3 linked regions of the Diceros bicornis minor genome follow. The protein of the gene in region 2 purifies or fractionates together with the protein of the main gene of each other region. This does not show direct contact. Links are inferred from orthologs where the notes say so. Each region holds a gene or a part of one and is shown on either strand. Other genes may lie near its edges.

Evidence for each region. The genes of interacting proteins can lie anywhere in the genome.
Region 1: the proteins of NOP56 (region 2) and NOP2 fractionate together in Homo sapiens (co-fractionation; 3 studies listed by BioGRID and IntAct, with this or other methods). This does not show direct contact. The link is inferred for Diceros bicornis minor from reciprocal best matches to the Homo sapiens genes NOP56 and NOP2.
Region 3: the proteins of NOP56 (region 2) and BRIX1 purify together in Homo sapiens (affinity purification with mass spectrometry; 3 studies listed by BioGRID and IntAct, with this or other methods). This does not show direct contact. The link is inferred for Diceros bicornis minor from reciprocal best matches to the Homo sapiens genes NOP56 and BRIX1.

Annotation. Positions count from the first base shown.
Region 1 is NC_080756.1:55,119,307-55,126,675, forward strand, and holds the start of NOP2 (probable 28S rRNA (cytosine(4447)-C(5))-methyltransferase), read left to right. Parts: upstream 1-4,352; 5' UTR 4,353-4,458; intron 4,459-4,693; 5' UTR 4,694-4,697; coding exon 4,698-4,800; intron 4,801-6,126; coding exon 6,127-6,172; intron 6,173-6,350; coding exon 6,351-6,439; intron 6,440-6,604; coding exon 6,605-6,855; intron 6,856-7,369. Other genes in the region: CHD4 (chromodomain-helicase-DNA-binding protein 4), read left to right, coding at 1,585-1,780, 2,512-2,675, 2,848-2,865. UniProt on the Homo sapiens protein: S-adenosyl-L-methionine-dependent methyltransferase that specifically methylates the C(5) position of cytosine 4447 in 28S rRNA. Required for efficient rRNA processing and 60S ribosomal subunit biogenesis.
Region 2 is NC_080758.1:31,200,169-31,207,291, reverse strand, and holds the start of NOP56 (nucleolar protein 56), read right to left. Parts: upstream 3,004-7,123; 5' UTR 2,964-3,003; coding exon 2,961-2,963; intron 2,819-2,960; coding exon 2,729-2,818; intron 2,368-2,728; coding exon 2,253-2,367; intron 1,730-2,252; exon of another isoform or gene 1,662-1,729; intron 1,505-1,661; coding exon 1,343-1,504; intron 1,167-1,342; coding exon 968-1,166; intron 855-967; exon of another isoform or gene 723-854; intron 596-722; coding exon 408-595; intron 327-407; coding exon 175-326; intron 1-174. UniProt on the Homo sapiens protein: Involved in the early to middle stages of 60S ribosomal subunit biogenesis. Required for the biogenesis of box C/D snoRNAs such U3, U8 and U14 snoRNAs. Part of the small subunit (SSU) processome, first precursor of the small eukaryotic ribosomal subunit.
Region 3 is NC_080759.1:34,114,020-34,121,256, forward strand, and holds the start of BRIX1 (ribosome biogenesis protein BRX1 homolog), read right to left. Parts: upstream 3,018-7,237; 5' UTR 2,975-3,017; coding exon 2,816-2,974; intron 2,789-2,815; exon of another isoform or gene 2,699-2,788; intron 1-2,698. Other genes in the region: cell cycle checkpoint protein RAD1, read left to right, coding at 3,842-4,036, 5,011-5,119, 6,474-6,732. UniProt on the Homo sapiens protein: Required for biogenesis of the 60S ribosomal subunit.

The sequences.
Region 1 (7,369 bases), on a different chromosome or scaffold from region 2:
TAGCTCAGGGCCGATCCTCCTCACAAAAAAAAAAAAAAAATAGAGGAAGACTGGCAACAGATGTTAGCTCAGGGCAAGTCTTCCTCAGCAAAAAAATAAATAATGGAGGAGTCTTACTATTTAACTTTGAAAACATTAGATATGTATATATAGTAGTTTCCCCTAATCCATGGGGAATATGTTCCAAGAACATCCGGTGGATGCCTGAACCCACGGATAGTACCAAACCCTATATATACCATGTTTTTTTCCTATAATACATACCTGTGATAAAGTTTAATTAATTAATTAAGGTTTTTTTTTGTGAGGAAGATCAGCCATGAGCTAACATCCATGCTAATCCTCTCTTTGCTGAGGAAGACCGGCTCTGAGCCAACATCTATTGCCAATCTTCCTCCTCTTTTTCTCCAAAGCCCCAGTAGATAGTTGTATGTCATAGTTGCACATCCTTCTAGTTGCTGTATGTGGGACGCAGCCTCAGCATGGCTGGAGAAGCGGTGTGTCGGTGTGCGCCCGGGATCCAAACCTGGGCCGCCAGTAGCGGAGCATGCGCACTTAACTGCCAAGCCACGGGGCCGGCCCAGTTTAATTTATAAATTAGGCACAGTAAGAGATTAGCAACAATAATATTAAAGTTGGCTGTGGGGCCATTATTAAGTAAAATAAGGGTTACTTGAACACAATCACTGTGATACTGTGACAGTCAATCTGATAACCGAGATGACTACTAAGTAACTAATAGGCAGGTAGCCTATACAGCATGGATAAGCTGGACAAAGGAATGATTCACGTCCTGGGACGGACAGAGTGGGACGGTGCAAGATTTCATCATGCTACTCAGAACAGTGTGCAATTTAAAACGTGAATTGTTTATTTCTGGAATTTTCCATTTAATATTTTTGGACCGCAGTTGACTCTGAGTAACTGAAACTTTGGAAAGCAAAACCGCGGATAAGGAGGGGGACTACTGTAGAATGATCTCAATTATGTAAAATTTGTGATTTTAATTGTTTATATATTCTGTATTTTCTAAATTGAGTTTTTATCATTTTTGTATGAGTGAATCAATAAAGGGTAAAGAGTTTTATTTTTTTAAGTTTTATTTATTTATGTTTTTGTGAGGAAGATCAGCCCTGAGCTAACATCCATGCTAATCCTCCTCTTTTTGCTGAGGAAGACCGGCTCTCAGCTAACATCTGTTGCCAATCCTCCTCCTTTTTTGTGTTTCCCCAAAGCCCCAGTAGATAGTTGTATGCCTTAGCTGCACATCCTTCTAGTTGGTGTATGTGGGATGCCGCCTCAGCGTGGCCAGAGAAGTGGTGCATCGCTGTGCGCCCGGGATCCGAACCCGGGCCGCCAGTAGCGGAGCGTGCGCACTTAACAGCTAAGCCACGGGGCCGGCCCAGGGTAAAGAGTTTTAAAAACGTAGACCTTGAAAGGAGAGTAAAGAAGGCAATGCAATGTTGAACTGCTTGGGTTTGGGGGAGCCATCTGTAAGGTTCTTTATAGGTTCTGAGAGGCCCATCAGAAATAAGCAAAGTGAGTGTCAGTTCATCTCCCATTTCCTCTTTATCCCTTGTCCAGCTCTTAGAACAAGCCCTGGTGATTGAGGAACAGCTGCGCCGGGCAGCTTACCTGAACATGTCAGAGGACCCCTCTCACCCTTCCATGGCCCTAAACACCCGCTTTGCTGAGGTGGAGTGTTTGGCGGAGAGTCATCAGCACCTGTCCAAGGAGTCAATGGCAGGAAACAAGCCAGCCAATGCAGTCCTGCACAAAGGTAGCCAGTGGCTCCCCTGCCTCCTGCTGACTCAGCCTCCTTCTTCCTCTACCCCTCCCCAACACATTGGCTTCTTGTTTCCAAACCTTTTTCAGAGCCCCTTTGGGAGTTTAGCCTTCCTCCTTGGGAAGCTAATGTCTTAGAGGCAATCGAGGACAGTAGTTCTTTGCCTCTTTCAACTCTTAATATATTCAAGTTGTTGGAGGTGGAAAGCAAAGCAGAATAATATAGTGTTATCTGGGATACTTCAGAGGTAACTTCAGGTGATTTAAGATCCTGTCAAATTCTAGACCCTTTTCAACATTTTTTTTTCTGATTAAAGTTAAAACATTGTGAGAGAGGTGGAGGGTGAAGTGAGGAAAGGAAGACTGTTATAAAGGAAGAGGGAGACACCTCGAAAAGGTGGAGAAGAAAGATAGAAAAGGAAATAATAGGAATAAGCGTGTCTCAGGAAGTAGAGAAAATAGAGACAGTTGGGAGCAAGGGACAGTGAGGGTTAGGTGACTTTAAGAAGCATAGAAGCATGGCCAGTTGGAACTAGAATGTGAGGAATAGGAATTTGAGCATGGTAGAGGCCAGGTCACGTGACGCAGTGACAAAAGACAATACTTGAGCATTCCAGCACATCAGTCCCTTGGTCAATGAGAAGTGATGGGGGCCAGGGGTCCACTGGTAAGAAGGATCTTGGTCTTGACCACCACAGCTCACCACTTTTTTTTTTTCCTGTGCAGTTCTGAAACAGCTAGAAGAACTGCTGAGTGACATGAAAGCCGATGTGACTCGACTCCCAGCTACTATTGCCCGAATTCCCCCAGTTGCTGTGAGGCTACAGATGTCAGAGCGTAACATTCTTAGCCGCCTGGCAAACCGAGCACCTGAACCTACTCCACAGCAGGTAGGACCGTTTTCTTCTGGCCAGCTGTTCGAGCAGAGCCACTGTTACTTTGCTGTCTGTCCCTAGCTTTACATACTGGACAGGTGGGGCTGTGTCACCACTGAGTTCCCGTAGGATCAGGTGGATTCCTGTGGTCTGGCATTCTGACTCCCTTGGCTCTCTTTTCCTGTAGGTAGCCCAGCAGCAGTGAAGATCAGACTGATGATACCACCTCCACCGCTGAGCAGTGACCTTCCTCACTTTCCCTTGCCCAGCTTCTCACCTGGGGGCCTGAGAGACCCTCTCCTTCCTCCTGCCCCATCTTCCATGTTGTAAAGGAACAGCCCCCAGTGCACTGGGGGAGGGGAGGGAGTGAGGGGCAGTGGTGCCCTTCCTGCTGGAGAGACATGCAGCAGTAGCGCCGGCGCCATCTGCAGGGAGCTGGCGGGCTGGCCGCCTTCTGGGCCCTGGCTTCTCCCTACTGTAACGTCTGTTACACACAAACTGTTGTGGGTCCCGCCAGGCTTGAAGAAAATGATCTGAATTTCTTTCTCCTTTTGGTTTTATTTTGTTGGTTTACTTTGTGTTTCCTTTTCTCCTTTTTTGGGGTATTCAGAGTGGGCCGGGCCCCTGGGCGAGACACAGCTACCTCTGTTGGCATCTTTTTAATACCAGGAACCCAGCGGCTCCAGCCACTGAGCAGCTAGAATAAAATAAAGTGAAAAAAAAAAAAAAAGGAAAAGAACCAAAAGCGTAAAAAACCACAGCAAATTTCTTGATGAAAACTGAAAATAAAAGTTTCCTTGTATTTTAGTGCTCTGGTTCGGTGTGGGTGTAGGTTCAGGTGGATGAGTGTGCATGACAGGAGCCCTGGGAAATGTGCAGCTGAGAACCAGGGGCTACTTGTGTTCTAATAGTCCACAAGAGACCGTGTCACGTCTGCACGTGCCCGCTGTGCTCTGGACCAAGGATGACCAGCATCTGGGGGAATGAGCGGCTCCCACACCACCCGGGCTCGTGCCCTGTACTACCGGCCAACGGCTCTGTACCGTTGAGGAAGTGAACTCTGGGCTGTGGATTTCTCATGTATAAAATAAAGCTATCTTCCTCATAGAGTTGTGAAGATAAAACCAGTAAAGTGCTTGGAACAGTTTCTAACAGCTACTAAGCACTGTTAGTATTTATTTGAAGGAAGGCTGAAGTTTTATCTAGTTGTGTGAAACTAGGATGTGAGGTGTCTTCCGACCTCCAGCTGTGCACCTAGGCAGAGAGGAACCCTACCCGACGGGCAGAGCGGTGGTCTGGGTCAAAGAGGGCTTCCCAATTGAAGGGATCGGGGTGGGAGAGCGGCGTGGGATTCCAGGACTCCGAGACTGGGCGGAGCGCGGACACTGCCAAGAGGAGGGCCCCGATCTCACGCCTTGGTTTGAGGGGAGGGGCGGCTCTCAGGTTCCAGTTACTCCGATTGAAATCTGCAGTGAGGCGAAAAGCCAACGCCTTGAGGGAGGAGCAGGGAAGCGCAAAACGGTTCCGTCCCGGTTCCTTTCGCCGCCCTCTGCGACTGTGAACGGAGCGGTCCGTCTCCAAATCTTCCCCGGCCGCGCTGCCGACAGCCCCGCGCGCGTTCCGGGTTCCGCGCCCGACCAGAAGCGGCCGGAAGAGGCGGGGCCACCAGTGAAGCGAGCTCTGCGCGCCTGCGCGAAGCGTTTCCGTGGAGTGCGGCGCCCGAACGCTAGCCTCGCGGTGCACGTGGAGTGCTGCCCCGCGTACCCAGGAGGCGTCTGGGGCCTGGACCCGCCTTCGGGTGAGCCGAGGCTTCGGGTGGTTCTGGAGGAAGTCGGGGAAGGAAGGGTGACTGCACTGACCTGGACTGGGGCGTGGGGAGGGACGCAGGGTCCGGGGCTCCGCGTGGAGGGGGTTTGGTTAGGCCTCGAGGGCTGGTTGACCGGATGCGCTTTCCCACCGTAATGCGCTAAGTCTGCGGTGTGCCTTTCCCTTTCCAACACGCGCGACTCTGCTCCCATTTTTCGTTTCCCCAGTACCATGGGGCGCAAGTTGGACCCTACGAAGGAGAAGCGCGGGCCGGGCCGAAAGGCCCGGAAGCAGAAAGGTGCCGAGACTGAACTCGCCAGATTCTTGCCTGCAGGTAAGGGTCAGGCCTGCCTCCTCCCCATTCTCCAGCTTTTGTGCCATCTTTTCATCTGTATGATAACCCCGTCCGTTCTTTAGTTTTTGTTCACCTTCTGCTCAAGTGGAATTTCGTTTGTATGAGTTATTAGGAAATAGGCGTGAATGAAACACTCACTGTCATCAGCCAGAACTTAGGGAAGATGTGACAGGGACACAAGAACCCATGCAAGGAGAGGCCCGCTTTAACATTGAGGGAGTTCAGAGGAAGGGGGATCCCATGCAGTTAGAGAATTTAAAAAGATTTTGTTATGAAGTTAGGTTTTGAAAAATGGCTGACATTTTAGCAAGTGGAAGTTGGGAAGGGGACTCCAGGCCAGTCGCTGTGAGCTGCATTGTGGAGGGGATGGAGGTGGGAAAGCACAGAGCTGGTTCCCACATGGTGAGTAGGCTACTGCTTGGAACACTGGGTAAGAGAGAAGCATGGACAGGTAGTTTGTGTTGGGCATTGGACAAAAGATGCAGTTTATTGCAGTACTAACCTGTGCTAGGCACTATACCGGACTCTTTGGACACATCATATCACTTCATTCTCTTAGTTTCCTGTGGGAGAGGCACTGTTAAGGCAACGGATGTTGAGAGGTTAAATGACCTGCATATAGTTATTAAGTGACAGGGCTGAGATTTAAACCTTTTATTTCTTGGAGAATGTTTGAAAAACAGCAATCATAAAGGTAAAATCTACTGTGGCTAGTGACTGATTAAATTGAGAGTAAAGGAAAAGGCAGAAGAAAAGATAAATTTTGAGTCTGTGTTATCAGAATGGTGATGATGCTATTTATTGCAATCAGAAGTGTGGAGGTGGGGCCGGTCGGTGGCGAAGCGGTTAAGTTCCCGTGCTTTGGCAGCCCAGGGTTCGCCGGTTTGGATCCTGGGCATGGACCTAGGCACCGCTCATCAAACCATGCTGAGGCAGAGTCCCACATAGAACAACTAGAAGGATGTACAACTGTGACGTACAACTACCTATTGGGGCTTTGGGGAGAAAAAAGGAAAAAAGGAAGAAGATGGGCAATAGATGTTAGCTCAGGGCCAGCCTTCGTCAAAGAAAAAAAAAAAAGTAGTCTGGAAGGAGGCCCAATTTGGATTTGGTTGGTGAACAACCAGATGGAGATCATCTCCTTTACATCTCTTATCCAGCTCCTGGTAAAACACTGTGGAGTGAGTTGCAGTCTACTCCCTTTAATTACTGTACTTATTTCTCCCCACTTTTATTTTCTCTCCTGTTGCTCTTTTTCATTTCACCTGTAACCTCCTGTTCTGCCTCTTTTTTATGTTTTAACAGCTGGTGATGAAAATTCCAAGAGGCTGTCTAGTCGTGCTCGGAAGAGGTGAGTGAGGATGTCTAGACTTATATCGAGTCAACTGGTGCTGCTCTTCCTAAGCCACATGAATCCATGTGATCATGTTGATGGAAAGGGCTGTTTGGGGACTGTCATGTTTCCCTGTCATGAGAAATGGCAGAGCTTGGAGATATGTTCCATTTTCTCACTCCTTGTATCTTTTCAGAGCAGTCAAGAGGAAGTTGGGCTCTGCTGAAGTCCCTAAGATGAATAAGTCTTCTGGGATCAAACCATTGCCTGGAAAGCTACCAAAAGGTCAGTGAAAATAGGAGCTGGGTGCTACATGAGGAACCCTCTGGGTCCTGGGTAGAGAAGGGCCTGCTAAATGAAAGGAACAGCCAAAGGACTTTCTTGGGGGTAGAAAATACAGGCTCTATCAGTGTGTGACTGCCATCAGTCCAGAATTCTTCAAACCTTTAGGGATCTTTGCAAGAGCTGTCCAGACACCTGGTAAGAAGGGAGCCCAGTCCTTATTAAATACTGCTCAAGGCAAGAAGCGCCCAGCACCAACCCATAGCAGTGAGGAGGAAGAGGAGGAGGAAGACTCTGAAGAGGATGGTGTGGTGAACCAGGGGGACCTCTGGGGCTCCGAGGACAGCGACGCTGATATGATAGATGACTGTGGAGCTGACTCCAACTCAGAGGATGACAATGAGGATGAAGGTGAAGAGGTGAGATTTATCTGTTCAGGAAGGAAGCCTTGCCTTTTAGTCTTTCCAGATCCTTGAGACTATGCCTCAGTGACAAGGATAAGCCTGAGTAGAGAAGATATTTTAGTGTTCCATCACTGCTTTCCTATCATCTTATGGCCTCTCAGTGTACATGCAAGTTTAAAAGAGCTGTAGAATAGAGCATTTTAAAATATGAGAATGCTCAGTGCTGGTGAGGATGTGGTAAGGTGGACACTTGTATGCCCCACTGATGGGAATAGAAATGCACACACGTGTTTTATAAAGCATTTGGCGTCTGAGGACCTTGAAAAGTTTCTTCTTTTTAACCTAGTAATTCTTTTTTTTTTTTTTTTTTAATGAGGAAGATCAGCCCTGAGCTAACATCTATTGCCAATCCTCCTCCTCCTTTTTTTTTCCCCCCTCTTCTCCCCAAAGCCGCAGTAGATAGTTGTGTGTCATAGCTGCACATCCTTCTAGTTGCTGTATGTGGGACGCCACTTCAGCATGGCCGGAG
Region 2 (7,123 bases):
GATTCAAGGAATTAGAGAAGCTAGAATTGCCAGCCCACCAACTGCATAACCCTGCTTCACCTCTTCCCATCAAGTGCAATCAGGGGAAGTTATGGTGGGTCAGGAAATACAGCAGGTTTGGATATACACGGTAATATTCCTCAATCCCCCATTTTTGCATTCCCCGTGACGCACCGCTTCCCCAATGAGGGCTGACAGGCTGGGGGCTACTTGGCTCATCTTGGATCGCAGGTAAGTGTGTAGGCTCTGGCGGTACTCTGACAAAGACACCACACGACTGGAGAAGCTCTCGATGTTTATCAAGTCAATGGCCGATATGTCCATGCCTAAGGGACACCAAGTGTGAATGCAGGAGTCAGATACTCAGAGCCCCATACCTTATTTTGGCTGCCAGACCCTATACTGACCCATGGAGGACCGTGAGGCATCCAGAATAGCCTTAGCTTTGGCCCCATCCATTGTCAGCTCCTCCAGCTTCTCCAGCTTTTCTTCATTCAACTCCCTTCGGTTTCCAATGAACTGAGCAAGGCGGCAGTACGTAGCATTGTCATTGATGATCTTCACCAGCTCAGGAAAGTGATACCCATACCACTCCCTGCAGAGAACCACAATCACTCCCTGGCTCAGCTGCCATCTCAAATAAAGCTACAGCCTTAGCCCTCTCCACATCTACTCTTTGCCTGGAGGAAATGGGGAAGAAGTCAAGATTCAAAACCTCAACTCCTTGTCCCCCCATTCACAATACAGACCAAGCAAAGGGCCTGGGCTGAGGTGTATATGGGGTGGGTTCACTCTGCCTCCTCTTTCTATACAGTCAGTGTAAGAACACAGCCTGTGGTAAGCATCAGGAGGCCCAGCCCCACCCCACATGGTTACACCCACAGGAGCCAGTCCTGATCTCAGGATTCCAAATTAGCTAAACCACAAGCCAAAGACCCCATTCTCAGGAGGTGCCCCTGCACTTTACCTGACACGCATGGAGAAGGTATTGATGTCCTTATCCAATTGGTCCAGGAGACTAATGGACTGGATAATCATATTGTCCACCCGGTTCACATTAAACTTAACTTTGGCACGAGAATAGCTGTGTCCCAGGCCCAGCTGGGCTTTACAAGCAGACACATCAGTCAGACCCTTCACCAGGTTGTGGAAGTGCAGACGAACTCCTGGAGGAGGGCAAGACTGTGAGCAAAAAAGGGCTCTCAGCTAGCTTCTGCACCCACGGGCACCAGCCAAGCAGGAGGGCTTCCCAGAAGCAACCATAAGCACCCTAAAATAAATTTCCAGAACCCCCCTCAAAGATGTGAACAATGGCATGAATGCTAACAGATGACGGTCTCACCTCGCAGGATCTCGGCTATCACGCCTCCAGTCTGGCAGTTGTATCCTAACTCTTCTTGTATAGCAGCACCAATCTTGGGGTCCCCAACCCCCAAGAGAACTTTCTTCTTTTTGGATGGTAGGTGAGTCTCCAAGAGCAGGCGGAGATCCTCATGAACAACACCTCAGGGCAAAGAACAGAGCTCCCACTACCAAGCTGAAGGATGCTTGAATCATAAAAGGGATCCTGTCCCCTCAATTGATTTAAGTGACAGACTGATCCTACAGTAGTCTCCCAGAGCATGCTGGGATGGCCTGCCTAGACCCCTCCCCTTCAGGCTTTGCTCAGAGACATGGAGACATCAGTGATTGCACTCAGGGGATTGACAGACTCAAGTCATCACTGCAAAGCCTTCATCAACTATGGGAGGAACAGGACTCAGGTTCAACAGCTCAGTGAAATACATAACTGAAAGCTTAAAACACCCTGGAGCACTATGAAAGTAATACCTGATTTGCCTTCTGGGACCAACCTCTTTTTCTTGGCTTTTATGTATCAGAATTGCCCTTTCCAATCAACTGAACAAAGTAGCAGAAAACCACAGTTGATTGGGTTTAGCATTAAACCAGCCTCACTTACCAGATTTCATTTAAGTATCATTTATCACTACAGCGCCCACAGGGAAATAAAGCCTTCACCCTGGATTGTGCGCTTTAATTATTACATTTAGCCTACCATATTCCCCAGACCTTGAGCTCTGTGAAGATTCAAATACATTCTGTACACATTAAATACCGCCCAGCACATGTCAGATTTAGAACAATCCAGCCAAGGAAAGCAAATATCATCACAAGCTCCCCTAGGAAAACAGTAGCAGGATCCCTTATCTTGACTTTATCTCCGAAACAATACTTGGTGGTGGCCTACTCACCTTCAGACACAGCGTTGGCATTTTCCAAGGCAACCTGGGATGAGGCAAAGGGACAAAAGGCCACGAGACGAACGATGTTGTGGAACTTGCCCAAGTTGAGCACGCACTCCTCCACCTGGGGGGAGAAAGGATGAATGGTCTCCTTCCCTCGCTGTTGCCTCTAGGGCGCAGTAAAGCAGCGGTTCTCAGCCTTGAACGCACATCAGAACCAACGGAACTCTTTAAAAATGAACCGATCATGGGCCCTAAGTCCCGGTTCTGCTTCATCGGTACGGAGTGGAGTTGGGGAGACTTACTTCTAAGCGCTCCTAACGAGATTCTAATCACGACTGCAGCTAACTACCCCCTGCTCTGGAGTTGTCTGGCCCAGAGCACCCACAACGCGCGGCCAGCCACGTGGGAGCGCGCGGTGCATGCTGGGGTACCCGCGGCCGGAGGGGCTGCAGCGCGGACGGCGAGGCCCCCACTTCACCCACCTGCGGCAACAGCAGGCTGATCTCCTCCACCTCCTTCAGTGCCAGCAGCGCGTAGCCGACCGCGTGCTCGAACAGCACGTGCAGCAGTACCTGGAACCGGAGCCGGGGCGCGAGCGTCAGCGCGGCCTCCCCGTTCACCTGGCCCCGCTCGCAGGGTAGGACCCGGCCCTGGCCCGCAACCAGGCCCGCACCGCGGCCTTCGCCTCCCCCAAAACGCGCAACCACTCCTCACCATGGCGCCTGCTCCTGGCCCGGCTCGCAATGCGGCGAGCGGGCTCTGGCGCGCGGAACCAGGCTCCGTAGGCCACGCCCCCGCGCCGTCGGCCAATCAGAGGCCGGGGGCGATACCTTTCCGGGCCTTCGGAGGGGGAATCCGCCGGGGTGGTATGGCCCGGAGCGGGGGTGGCGGGCGCGCGGGCTGGCCTCTTCCGGCCTCTGCTGCGGCGTGGGCGCGCTTACCGGGGACGCGCGGGACTGGTCTCTTCCTGCAGGCCGCAGAATGGTTTGGAAAGGCGCTTTTCTGAATAATAGTCCAATCCCTCATGTTTTCGTCATATAAATTACGGGCAGCAGAGCTCGGTGACACCCGGGCGGGAGGCCCCGCGCTGGCCGCGGCGACCATCCCCCGGCAGAAACTGTTGCCCACCCGGCTTTCCGCAGAGCTGTGACCTGGGGCCCCAGACCCCTCCATCCTCCCCACGCTCCCGGAACCCCTTTGTCCCCGCTTCCCAGTCGGGGACGACCCTCCCAGGAGCCCTGTGGCCGCGCGCTTTTTCTTCCTCTCTGGGACGGAAGCGGAGCCTGGGGCGCTCTGGCGCAGACCCTGAGGAATCGTGACTCTTGGTGGCTGGCTTCGTACTGTTACATTGTATTTTACTTATTTTTAAAACTGAGGGTGGCCGGAGACAAAGTAGAAAAGGAAGACGATCCCGCCTCCTCCCAGGTCGGTTTCTCGTTCCCCTGCTTCAGCAGAACCCAGCTCCTTTGCGGGGCCACGTGTTGCTCGCCTCTTAACACCCAGTTGGCTCCGAATGGATCGGAGCTGCTTCCATGTCCTAGAGGGAGGCTTTTGGGCACTCAGGCGACTATTTTGAAATTACCTTTGCAAATCCAAAACTTGGTTATCCTAAAGTAGTATACATGCTGGTAAATTAAAGTCATTTTAAGGGGGTGGTTTTAAACTTAAATTCCCATAACTGAAGTGCATTTATAAATTTAATATATTTTATTTTCTTAAGCAATTAAGTTACTTGACAAACAAAATCCAAGTACTGAGCTCACTTTTAAAACATAATATCTTAAAAAAGATGGTTGGTAAATCTTAAACGCATAATCTGAGTATTGCTTACAAATGTGGTTACATTCTGTTACATATATCCACTTATAACCTTGAGTCTGAATCAGTTACTCCACATTTTAAAATTGAATTGCAAAACTAATCTATTATATACATCAGTATGTTAAATTCTGTTTTATAAATACCAAATTAGGTGATTCCAAAATGTAATGGAAAATATTAATGCTGTGACTTTGATTTACTTCATTATTTCTATACTTAATCTTAAATATTCCTGGGATTACAGGGGCTTATCTACTAAGATAGCAGTTTTCAAAGGAGAAGTTGGAGTCTATTAATGGCTTGTAGAGTGACTTTAGACATTCTTGGCTGGCATTAAAAACATAGGATGAAAGAGAATAGGAAATAATAATATGTCACATAGAGTGAGGAGGGGTATTGATTTGTGAAACTTTTGTCTCAGCCAAACTTACATATGTATACATGTATGTATAAATATACACATGTATACATGGAGAAATATGGATACAAATATATGTAGTATATAAGTAAATTATGTAAATGCAGATTTTTGTGGATTAAATACAAAAAGCCTGAGAGTCACCACAGTGGTACTTTGAGTAGATTTGAGTCTTCTGGTTATAAAGGAGCTGTGCTGAAGCAGTTTGCTAGCTTAGAGGGGTGGCCGAAGAAAAGTGCACTTCAGTTAGTGAGATACAAACACTTATGATTAGATAGGGACATGGTGTAAACACTAAAAATATTCCTTTGGCTTCCTCACCTCCATCTCTTGACTAAACTGTCTCCCCGATACTTCATAATCCTGCCTGCCCAGAATGGGCCATCTGTAGTGCGTCGTGTTAGAGACCATATCTTCCTTCTTTTTGGCCTATTTGCTAGGTTCACTTTTCCTGCCTAGGTTCAGGTCTTGACCACCACCACCACCACCATCCTACCTAATTCAGGACTTTTGCAAAACCTTTGGTTTCCCCTTCTCCAAAACACCTTTCTCTCCACTGCCAGAATGATCTCTCTAAGGCAGAGTATCTAGTCATGTTCTATTTGTGGGTGTTCATCGTGGCATGAAGTAATGGGAAGATTAAGGGCTTGGTGTCCCAGGATCACCTGCGGTAGCTAGTCTCCAAAGATGACCACCAATGACCCCTTCCTCCTGGTATTAGGTCCTTGTATAGTCTCCTCCCACAATGAACTGGGCTGGGCCTGTGACTCTTTTTTGCCAATAGAACGCGACAGAAGTGATTCTGTGCCATTTCCAGGCCTCAGCCTTTTGCATTCTTGGGAGCCCTCGAGTTGCCTTATAAGAAGTTCAGCTACTCTGCTGGACAGACCACATAGAGAAGGAAAGGCCCTGAGACTTGATGGAGAGGTCCGGCTTTCCAGCTGTCCCTGTCAAGAAAGAAGACCTGGGTAAAGGCATTTTGTGTGTTCCAGCCCTTGCCACCATCGGACTACAGCCACATGAGTGACCCCAAATAAGACTAGCAGAAGAACCACCTAGTTGAGCCCCATCTACCCACAGCATTGTGAGAAATATAAATATTGTGGTTTTAAGTCACTAAATTTCAGGATGATTTGTTAAGCAGTGGTAAACATGAATCAGAGTCAGCAAACCTGGGTTCAGGTGACCTTAAGTTAATCACCTAATCTTCCTGAGCTTTCATTTCTTCTGCAGAATGAAGAGTGAGGATTCTTCATCTCTGCAACAAACATTTTATTGAACATCTACCAGGTGTGACACAGGTGTGGTACCTGGCATGTAGTAGGAACTCAACAAATGTTAGTGGTCTTTCATCTTGTTCTTTTGTCCCCTTTATCAATAAGTAGCACAACAACATTTCATTTTACCTATTCTCGGTTTCGTTCCAGTTCTCCTATCACCTCCCATAGAACCTACTAGAACCCCAATTTGATACACCCAGCTACCCTGATTCATTTCTATCACTTTAGCCATTAACTTACACATGTAGGCAGATCGTCTCTAAACACAGCTTAGTTTCACATGGTAAAACAGTTGTGCATTCCACTTTTCAATTTCCAGTGGCAGTAGATCGACAGTTTACTGTCACCCTGATTTAATGTTGGAACCTGGAAAATATACTCAGTGTGTAAACTTGACAGTTATTGGTATCTCAGTTGTTTCTGTTTTAAACAATGTTGCTAAGTCTTTTAGATTTCCTCTGTCTTCTTCTGCTCTTTTCAAAATGGCACCAGGGTTTATGTGAGAGCGCTCTCACAGCCTAGTTGTAGGGGGAAGGGGCGGGGGGATATCTCGGGTCTTTGTGCTCAGGTTCTAGTGCTGTGTCTGGGACCCCATTAATCTCTGCTGTAACATGGCTGCTTTGGACTGGTCCCTAGGCCTGTGCACTGTATCCTCAGACTTGCTGATCTCAGCCAGATGCTCAAAATCACTGACATCTCAGTCTCCTTACTTCAGGTGTCTACTGGTTCCATGCCATGTGGCACCCATGTGTTTCCTCATTGAGGCATACATGGTGTGCCTCAATGGTGCATACATAATCTTTGTGATCACCTGCCTGCCATATATAGGCTGGGAGGACCAGGCTCATTACCAGAGGGACTTTTGATCTCACACTTCCCTCATGAATACTATGCTGTATTGACCATTGCATTGGGTGGAGTGTGGGACCTCTACAGCAGTGGTCAGCAAACTGTGACCCATGGGCCAAATCTGGCCTGTGGCTTATTTTTGTAGGGCCCAAGAGCTAAGAATGATTTCTACATTTTTAAAGGGTTGTAGAAAAATAATATGTGACAGAGTAAATAACAGTCTAAAATATTTACTAGACCCTTTACAGAAAAAGATTGTCAGTGTCTGTTTTCGAGGCATGCAGCTTCATCTGTGCCATGGTCAGGGGAGCAGGGCAGAAATGAACAGATATGATACTTGTAGAAATAAAAAACTCATTGTTGAAATTTAGAAGAAATGCAATGACTCATTAGCAAATTAGGCAAGGCTGAAGAGAATATTAGTGAACTGGAAGATATAATGAAATAATTTATCCAGAATGCAACAAAGAGAGGTAAAAAGGTGAAAGAGCAATTAAGAGACGTAGAGT
Region 3 (7,237 bases), on a different chromosome or scaffold from region 2:
CACCACCCTCTAGTGTATCAAGACCATAGCTATAACTCTGCCTCTTCCCCCATGGTGTAATTCGGGGAACTGAGATGTTTCACTCTACAGAGAATCTTTCCACTCCTGAAATCAGAATGGACTACTCATTCAATAATCCTTGCACAACAGAACTTTAATATTAATTTAATATTTACTAGGTTCCTACAGGAGCCAGGCACTGTCCTTATGTGGGAAGATAGTCAACAAACAAGCAAATCAATACAGACATGGAGGCATGAACAGCATGAAACCTTTATTTAGACAACCACAACATGTCTGTCACATAGGACATAAGTGGCAAAATATCATGTGATGACGCAAGGAAGGAAACTTTTAAAAGTCTCCATTTTATCTTATGTTATAGACAAAATTTAGATTCCTTATCTAAAGAAGCAGCAAGCTAAAAATAGCTCTTGGTTCTAATGAAATAACACCACCTATGGAAAAATTAACTCCTTTTATATAAGGTAAGCAGAGAGACACAATAGCTTCATAAAAAGCCTCCAGGTAGCAAGCCAAACAATCCTGACCCCTTTAAACTCTCAGTAGTATTCACTGACCATGGCTGCCACCCAGAAATGCTCTCCTTGACTTCCTTCCTTTTTGGTTTTTCTTCTTCAATCTCTCCAATTCCTCCTTCTGACTCTAAAGATTCTTTCTGAGCCTTCTTTTATTTCTGTTCTCTCCAGGACAGTTCTCACAATCATTTCCATAGCTTCAAATAACTCTACAGAAAGGTAAGGAACTCCCTCCAGCACTAATAATCCAAGTATTTGACTTAACACCTCAAATTCAATTCTAGAATACCAAACCTTAAATCCAGTAAATTTGTTTACTATTTCTTTTTCTGAAGATGTTACCCTCATTTCCTCATTTCAGGCCCCCAGGCGTTGAATCTTTCATTTGCCCTTGTTCTCCCATATCATTGTGTCAATGTGTCAATTTCTCTTTGCAAGAACTCTTTTTTTTTTTTTTTGGTGAGGAAGATCAGCCCTGAGCTAACATCTGATAATCCTCCTTTTTGCTGAGGAAGACTGGCTCTGGGCTAACGTCTGTGCCCATCTTCCTCCACTTTATATGGGACGCCACCACAGCATAGCTTGCCAAGCGGTGCGTCGCTGCGCGCCCGGGATCCGGGCCAGCGAACCCCGGGCCCCCACAGCAGAGCGCGCACACTTAACCGCCTGCGCCACCTGGCCGGCCCCTCTTTGCAACAACTCTTAATCCTTTCATACTCGCAGTGCCCTCCCTCAGATCCATATAATCTTAAATCTCCTAAATAGCTAGCCTTCCCAAACAGGAACTCCTCCAATAGATATGGCAGACTAGCACCAGCTTAATCTTTTTACAGCACTGCTCCAATCACATCCTTAACCTGCCAGGGTTTTCTAAACAAACTCCAAAATGACATAGCTTTAACAATGGATTCTAAAATACATTTATGTTTTTACCTCGCCATTGCCCCAAATCAACCCTACACTTGAGCCAATCTGGCTCTATTTTTTAGATTGTCAGCACTTCCTCCACTCCAACACATTCTACTCGTTTTTTTTCCCTCTCCCTTGTATTGTTCTCTCTCATTTCTGAATATCGAAATTCTGCCCTTACTTTGAGATCCAGTTCAAAGGGTAAATCCCTCATGATCCCTTACCTGATTATTCTAGGGTAAAAGTAATCTCCATCTTCTGCACTTCCATAGAATTTCTCATATTAAGACTCAAATCATGGATACTATCATATTTCTTTCTAACTCCTTATGGGAAGAGTGAGAGCACTAACACTTACTGAAAATTTACTAGAAGTCCAGCTTCTTCTTCACAAAAAGTAAATCACGTTTTTCTCTTAATTTGCAGATGAGAAAAGAGCTCGAAATATCACTGTTAATTAACAGCAGGGCTAGAATTTAAACTCATCTTTCAATCCTCAGAACTGGCTCCTTTCCTAGTGCTTGCCACCACACCACACAGGGTCATTGATTTACCATCTACTATGTGCTACAGTACTATGCCAAGCGCGGGGCACACAGAAATTAACAAATTAAGGTCATCCTTGTCTCCACCGTATTCGATCTAGCTTAAGGTGCTTTCAGTTGAATGAAACTTAGGTACAGTAACTTGCGTCCACCTTCTCTTGAATAAAAACCATCGACTTATGTGAATTCTTAGCTTCCTTCTAAACTCCGACATTTCAGAAGGAAAAGGTGACGTTCTAGTTTGCAATCCCAGAGCCAGAGCAAACCTAACTTCGTATAGTGCCTGGCACATTAAAAGTTTGTTGACTACAACGAGAGCTCGTGCTATCTAGTCTAGCTTTCATTATCACTTGAGAGTTAAAGACCTGCTCAAACAAGCCGAAGTCACTGTCCCAAGGACAGCAACTTTTTAAAGAACCGCCTAACAAAGCTTCAAGATCCCTGACTGACGATACTAATCACTGGAAGAAATATATCCAATAGCGAGAAATAACTTTAAGGAAAAGTAATGCCCTCAAAAGGAAAAAAAAAGGTAACTAGAAGACAGAACACTGGAACTGAGTACCCCCTACGTTGCTTCCCTGTGAGCCGATAAGCGCTCTGAAGCCCGCCCCGTTGCTCAGCCAGCCGCCTCCAGGAAAGCGGCCACGTGCACGAAGATTGGATGTAAACGCGGGGGCCAATCCAACTAGGAGAACTGAGACCGAGCTCCCTAACACTGAGGCAACTCCGAAATCAGCAGAGCCGTAATCAGGCATGGGGCCCCAGGCAAGGCGCGTGGAGCCGCGGCCGCAGGTGTAACCCGAGGGTGGCCCTCTCTACCTTGCAAACGGGGCCTGGGAAACGGTCTCTGTCTTCCTCCTCCGTCTCCTCTGCCATATCGCGCCGCTTAGCTGGCGGCGTGGCATCTTTTTCGTTTCTTTTTGGCTTCTTCGCCTGAACCGCCAGGCCTCCACGCCGCTTCCTCTTGGCCGCCGCCATCTTGCCTCAAGCCCTTCTCTCCGGGCCTTCCTTCCGGCTCTGCCGCTCGCTCCCCTTCCCGATCTCTATGGCACCGTACGCTCGGCTCTGCGGTCGTCCTTCAGCTCTATGGTGTCTCTTTCCGGTCTCTGTGGTGCTGTACGCTCGGCTCTCTAGGCCTCGTCTAGCTCTATGGTGACGGTGGCCGAGGTGGCTGGCCGATCTGAAAAGAGTGGCGGGAGGCGCTGCACTTCCTCCTGGGTTTCCCGGGAGCTCGGTTTCTCGGTGACCTGGCCCGGAAGGGCTTTCAGGCATCCAGACTCCACCGCAAAGGTAGGGTCTCCGTGCCCCGGGATCCCGGGACCAGTAAACATGCCGCCTTGCAGCGGGCTCTTGAGCAGGGTTGTCTGGGACTCAAGGAGGATCTTCTGTGTAATCGGGGCCCGCCCCCCCATCGCGTATTCTGTTAGAGGCGAGGTTGGGGGCGCCGGACAGCTCAAAACCGACTCGGGGGGATACGTAGCCCCAGTTTGGCGTGGCGAAACTGGCCCCAAGTAGAACTACCGTATTAGTTGCCTATTTCCATTGTTCACAACTTTTCATGTGTTATTGTCCCCTTACTAAAGACGAGGACACTGTAGCTTAGAGAGATAAGTAACTTGCCCCAAAGTTAACAGGGGCAGTTAGGTGGCAGAGGTGGGGTTCAATCTCTGGTCGGCCGAGTTCAACGTTCAGACCTCTCCCACTTGGCCTCAGCGCAGGTTGCAATCGCGGGCCTCGCCAGCCTTCATGGGGGTTTTATTGTCGAATCTCATCAGGTGTTTCGTGATCTGCGGGAGCAGGTGTTGGCACCAGGAGCATCCCTCGGGCCCGAATGTACAGTGGACGATGCCCCTCCTAACGCAACAGATCCAAGATGAGAATGACTACAGCTTAGTGGCCAGCCTTGACAACGTTAGGAATCTCTCCACTATCTTGAAGGCTATTCATTTCCGGGACCATGCCACCTGTTTCGCTACTAAAAATGGAATCAAGGTTACAGTGGAAAATGCAAAGTGTGTGCAAGCAAATGCTTTTATTCAGGTATGGAAGGAGGCACCTGTAAGCCTGTGACATATGATATTCTTCACCCAGTTTAATGAATTCCAAAGGTCTTACTGGACATCATTTAAGTTAGAGAACAATATATCATTTGAATCTTTTTCTCTCCTGGTAACAAATTCATTTCCCATCCTGTTTTACAGAGATAATGGTTATTATGTCTAAAATGTATTAAGCTAAACTATAGGCCAGGCACCCTTCTGAGTGTTTTATATGTTTAACTCATTTAATTCTCAATAATAGTCCTATGAGGTAGGTTCCGTTATAATTCCCATTTTGCATATGTGGAAACTTAGGCACAGATTAAATGATTTGCCAACAGTCTCACAGCTAGCAAGTGACTGGGTTGGGATGAGAACCCAGAACATTTGTTTCCAGAGTATATACTCTTTAGCACTACCTCCCTATTATCAAAAAATTTTTCCTTTTATTGGTTATAATACAATCTGTTCTTACAAACAAAGATTTGTATGGTTCAGATGGATTTCAGATTTAATTCAGCATTTTTTTGAATACTTAAGTGCACAGTATGACCTTGGGTATAGAGGGATAAATAAGATATGGTTCCTGTCCTTAAAAGAAATTGAAAACTAATATCACTCATGCGTTATCAAATTGTTTGGCTATTTACCAAGTGACCTTAGCCATACTGATGGGCACAAAAAGGAGAGTCATGTGGGCAATGGTTGAGATCCGAGAAGCTAGGTGAAGGACCCCTCATAAAGTTTTACATGAGACCTAAACCACTGTTACATCTCTAACTATTGAGTAGTAGTACATATTCTAATGGATAATGGTTGAAAAGGCTTAAGATGTTTTGACTGGTAATCAGAAATGACTTTCACAGGGTTAGCACAATATTGTTATTTTTAAAACATATCAAGTGAAATCTAGAACTTTGAGTTTTCATTCTTTAATATCTATAACTACATTTTCATGTTTCCTTTTTTTCATAGGCTGGAATATTTCAAGAGTTTACGGTTCAGGAAGAGTCTGTTACTTTTCGAATTAATTTAACTGTCCTTTTAGACTGCTTATCTATTTTTGGATCAAATCCTACGCCAGGTGAACCATTTTATTATCATTATAATGATATAAAAGCATTATACAGAATGGTCAGAAAAATACAGGAAAAGTTATTGGAAATAAGTAATCTAAACAATTGTTTAGAAAATTGTCAATTCATTTTTCATTGGTCAAAATCACGGATTCTGACTTTTCACAATGTTAGTAGAAAGTGTGCTTGTGGCTCTTTTCATATTTGCAAAAATATTTACATTCATCTTTTTTTAATTTACAAAGCTTTTGGGATTTTTAAATTTAAACTGACCAAAAGAAGACTTTGAACATGTAAATATCTTTAAGAATGTGAAATATGTTTTAAATTGCTTCTTTTTCCTGACTTGTCCAGAATTACACAGTTAGTGACAGAGAAAAATTGAAACCAGTTCTCCTGACTTGCAGTTTACTGTGTTCAAAATTTGTTTGCTTTTTTTTTAAGCCCTGTTTATAAATTATAGGTATTTTCCTAAATGCTTTCCTTTAAAATATTTATATATTTGTTTAGGGATTTTTTTGAATAGTGAATTCAGTTGCTATTGATATAAAACTACAAGGAATCCCCAGGAGAGTGATTTTACTTCATAGGAAAGAAAGCTGGAAATTAGCTAGGGAAAATTCAGTTTTTGTTCTCTAGAAAATATTACGATTCCATTCTTATTAATTATACATTTTCTAATGCAGTGTTCCCCAACTAGTTTTTCATAAAAGCATCTTTCTTCCCCCATTCGTCACTGTAGCTCTCCATCCAGGAAGGGAAAAGATCTAGACTATCCTGTCATATTCCTCCTCCTCTCTAGTGGTCTGCAATGTTAAAACCCACACCACCCTTAATCACCCTCTCTTTTTCTCCCAATTTGATCTTAAAATTTGAGGAAATGTAAAGAATATCTTCCAATAGAAAAGGTTGGAAGGATCCTTATCATGGTGAATATACTGACATTAAAGTACAGACAATATCAGAGCAATCGACTGTTGCACAAATTGAGCCTTCCAGAAGTAGCATAGCCTATTCTGCACCAATTCCATTACTTGCAGTAATGGTCCATGTAGATTGTTTATCCTAAATTGTATATATATAAAATCAATAAGCTATTTCTGAGGTGTTTTTGGCAAGCTGGAAAATGATTTCAAAGATTACATTTTGTTTTGGTTCCCAATTTTCTTGCAGTTATTTTTGGAATTATCTACACACGGTGTCATCAGGGAAGATGTGACCCTTCTTATAAGGAGATACATACGTATATGCTAGAAATTGGGCAGAATAAAATATTCTGGAGGACTTTTATATATCGTTTGAGGAGAAGGTGAACCCAGAGCTGTAAAGTTAAGCCCAGAGTATGATTTATTTCCATCGCAGGGACTTTTACTGCACTTCGGATGTGTTACCAAGGTTATGGTTACCCTTTGATGCTATTTCTGGAGGAAGGAGGAGTGGTGACAGTCTGTAAAATCAATACTCAGGAGCCTGAAGAGACTCTGGATTTTGATTTCTGCAGCACTAATGTCATCAATAAAGTTATCCTGCAGTCAGAGGGGCTCCGTGAAGCATTTTCCGAATTGGATATGACGAGTGAGGTCCTGCAGATCACCATGTCTCCTGACAAGCCTTATTTCAGGTAATTTGAACGCAGAGCAATTATAGTTAATGTACTACTTACACATTTGCTTAGGATGCGGAACTTTTATTATCCAGGTTCCTGGAATTTTCAGAACATTAGAGAGCTTTTACTCTTACCTCCTACTTTTACAGATCAGGAAACTTAGGACCCAGGAAGATTAACTCACTATTTAAAGCTTCATCATCAGGTAGTGTAGATGAGTAGCCCAGGCTCCTGATTCAGAAACCAGTGGTCTTTTCATTGTTGTATTACTTACTATTGTAGATCAGGTTATGTCATGAGGAAAACTGGGCTTAAACTTTTGGAAAAGTTGTTTGTATTATGTGGTATGTATCTCTTTTTCTTTTTCTTTTTCTTTTTCTTTTTCTTTTTTGTGAGGAAGATCAGCCCTGTGCTAATATCCGATGCCAATCCTCCCTTTTGTTTAATGCTGAGGAAGATTGGCCCTGGACTAACATCCATGCCCATCTTCCTCTACTTTATATGGCATGCCGCCACAGCA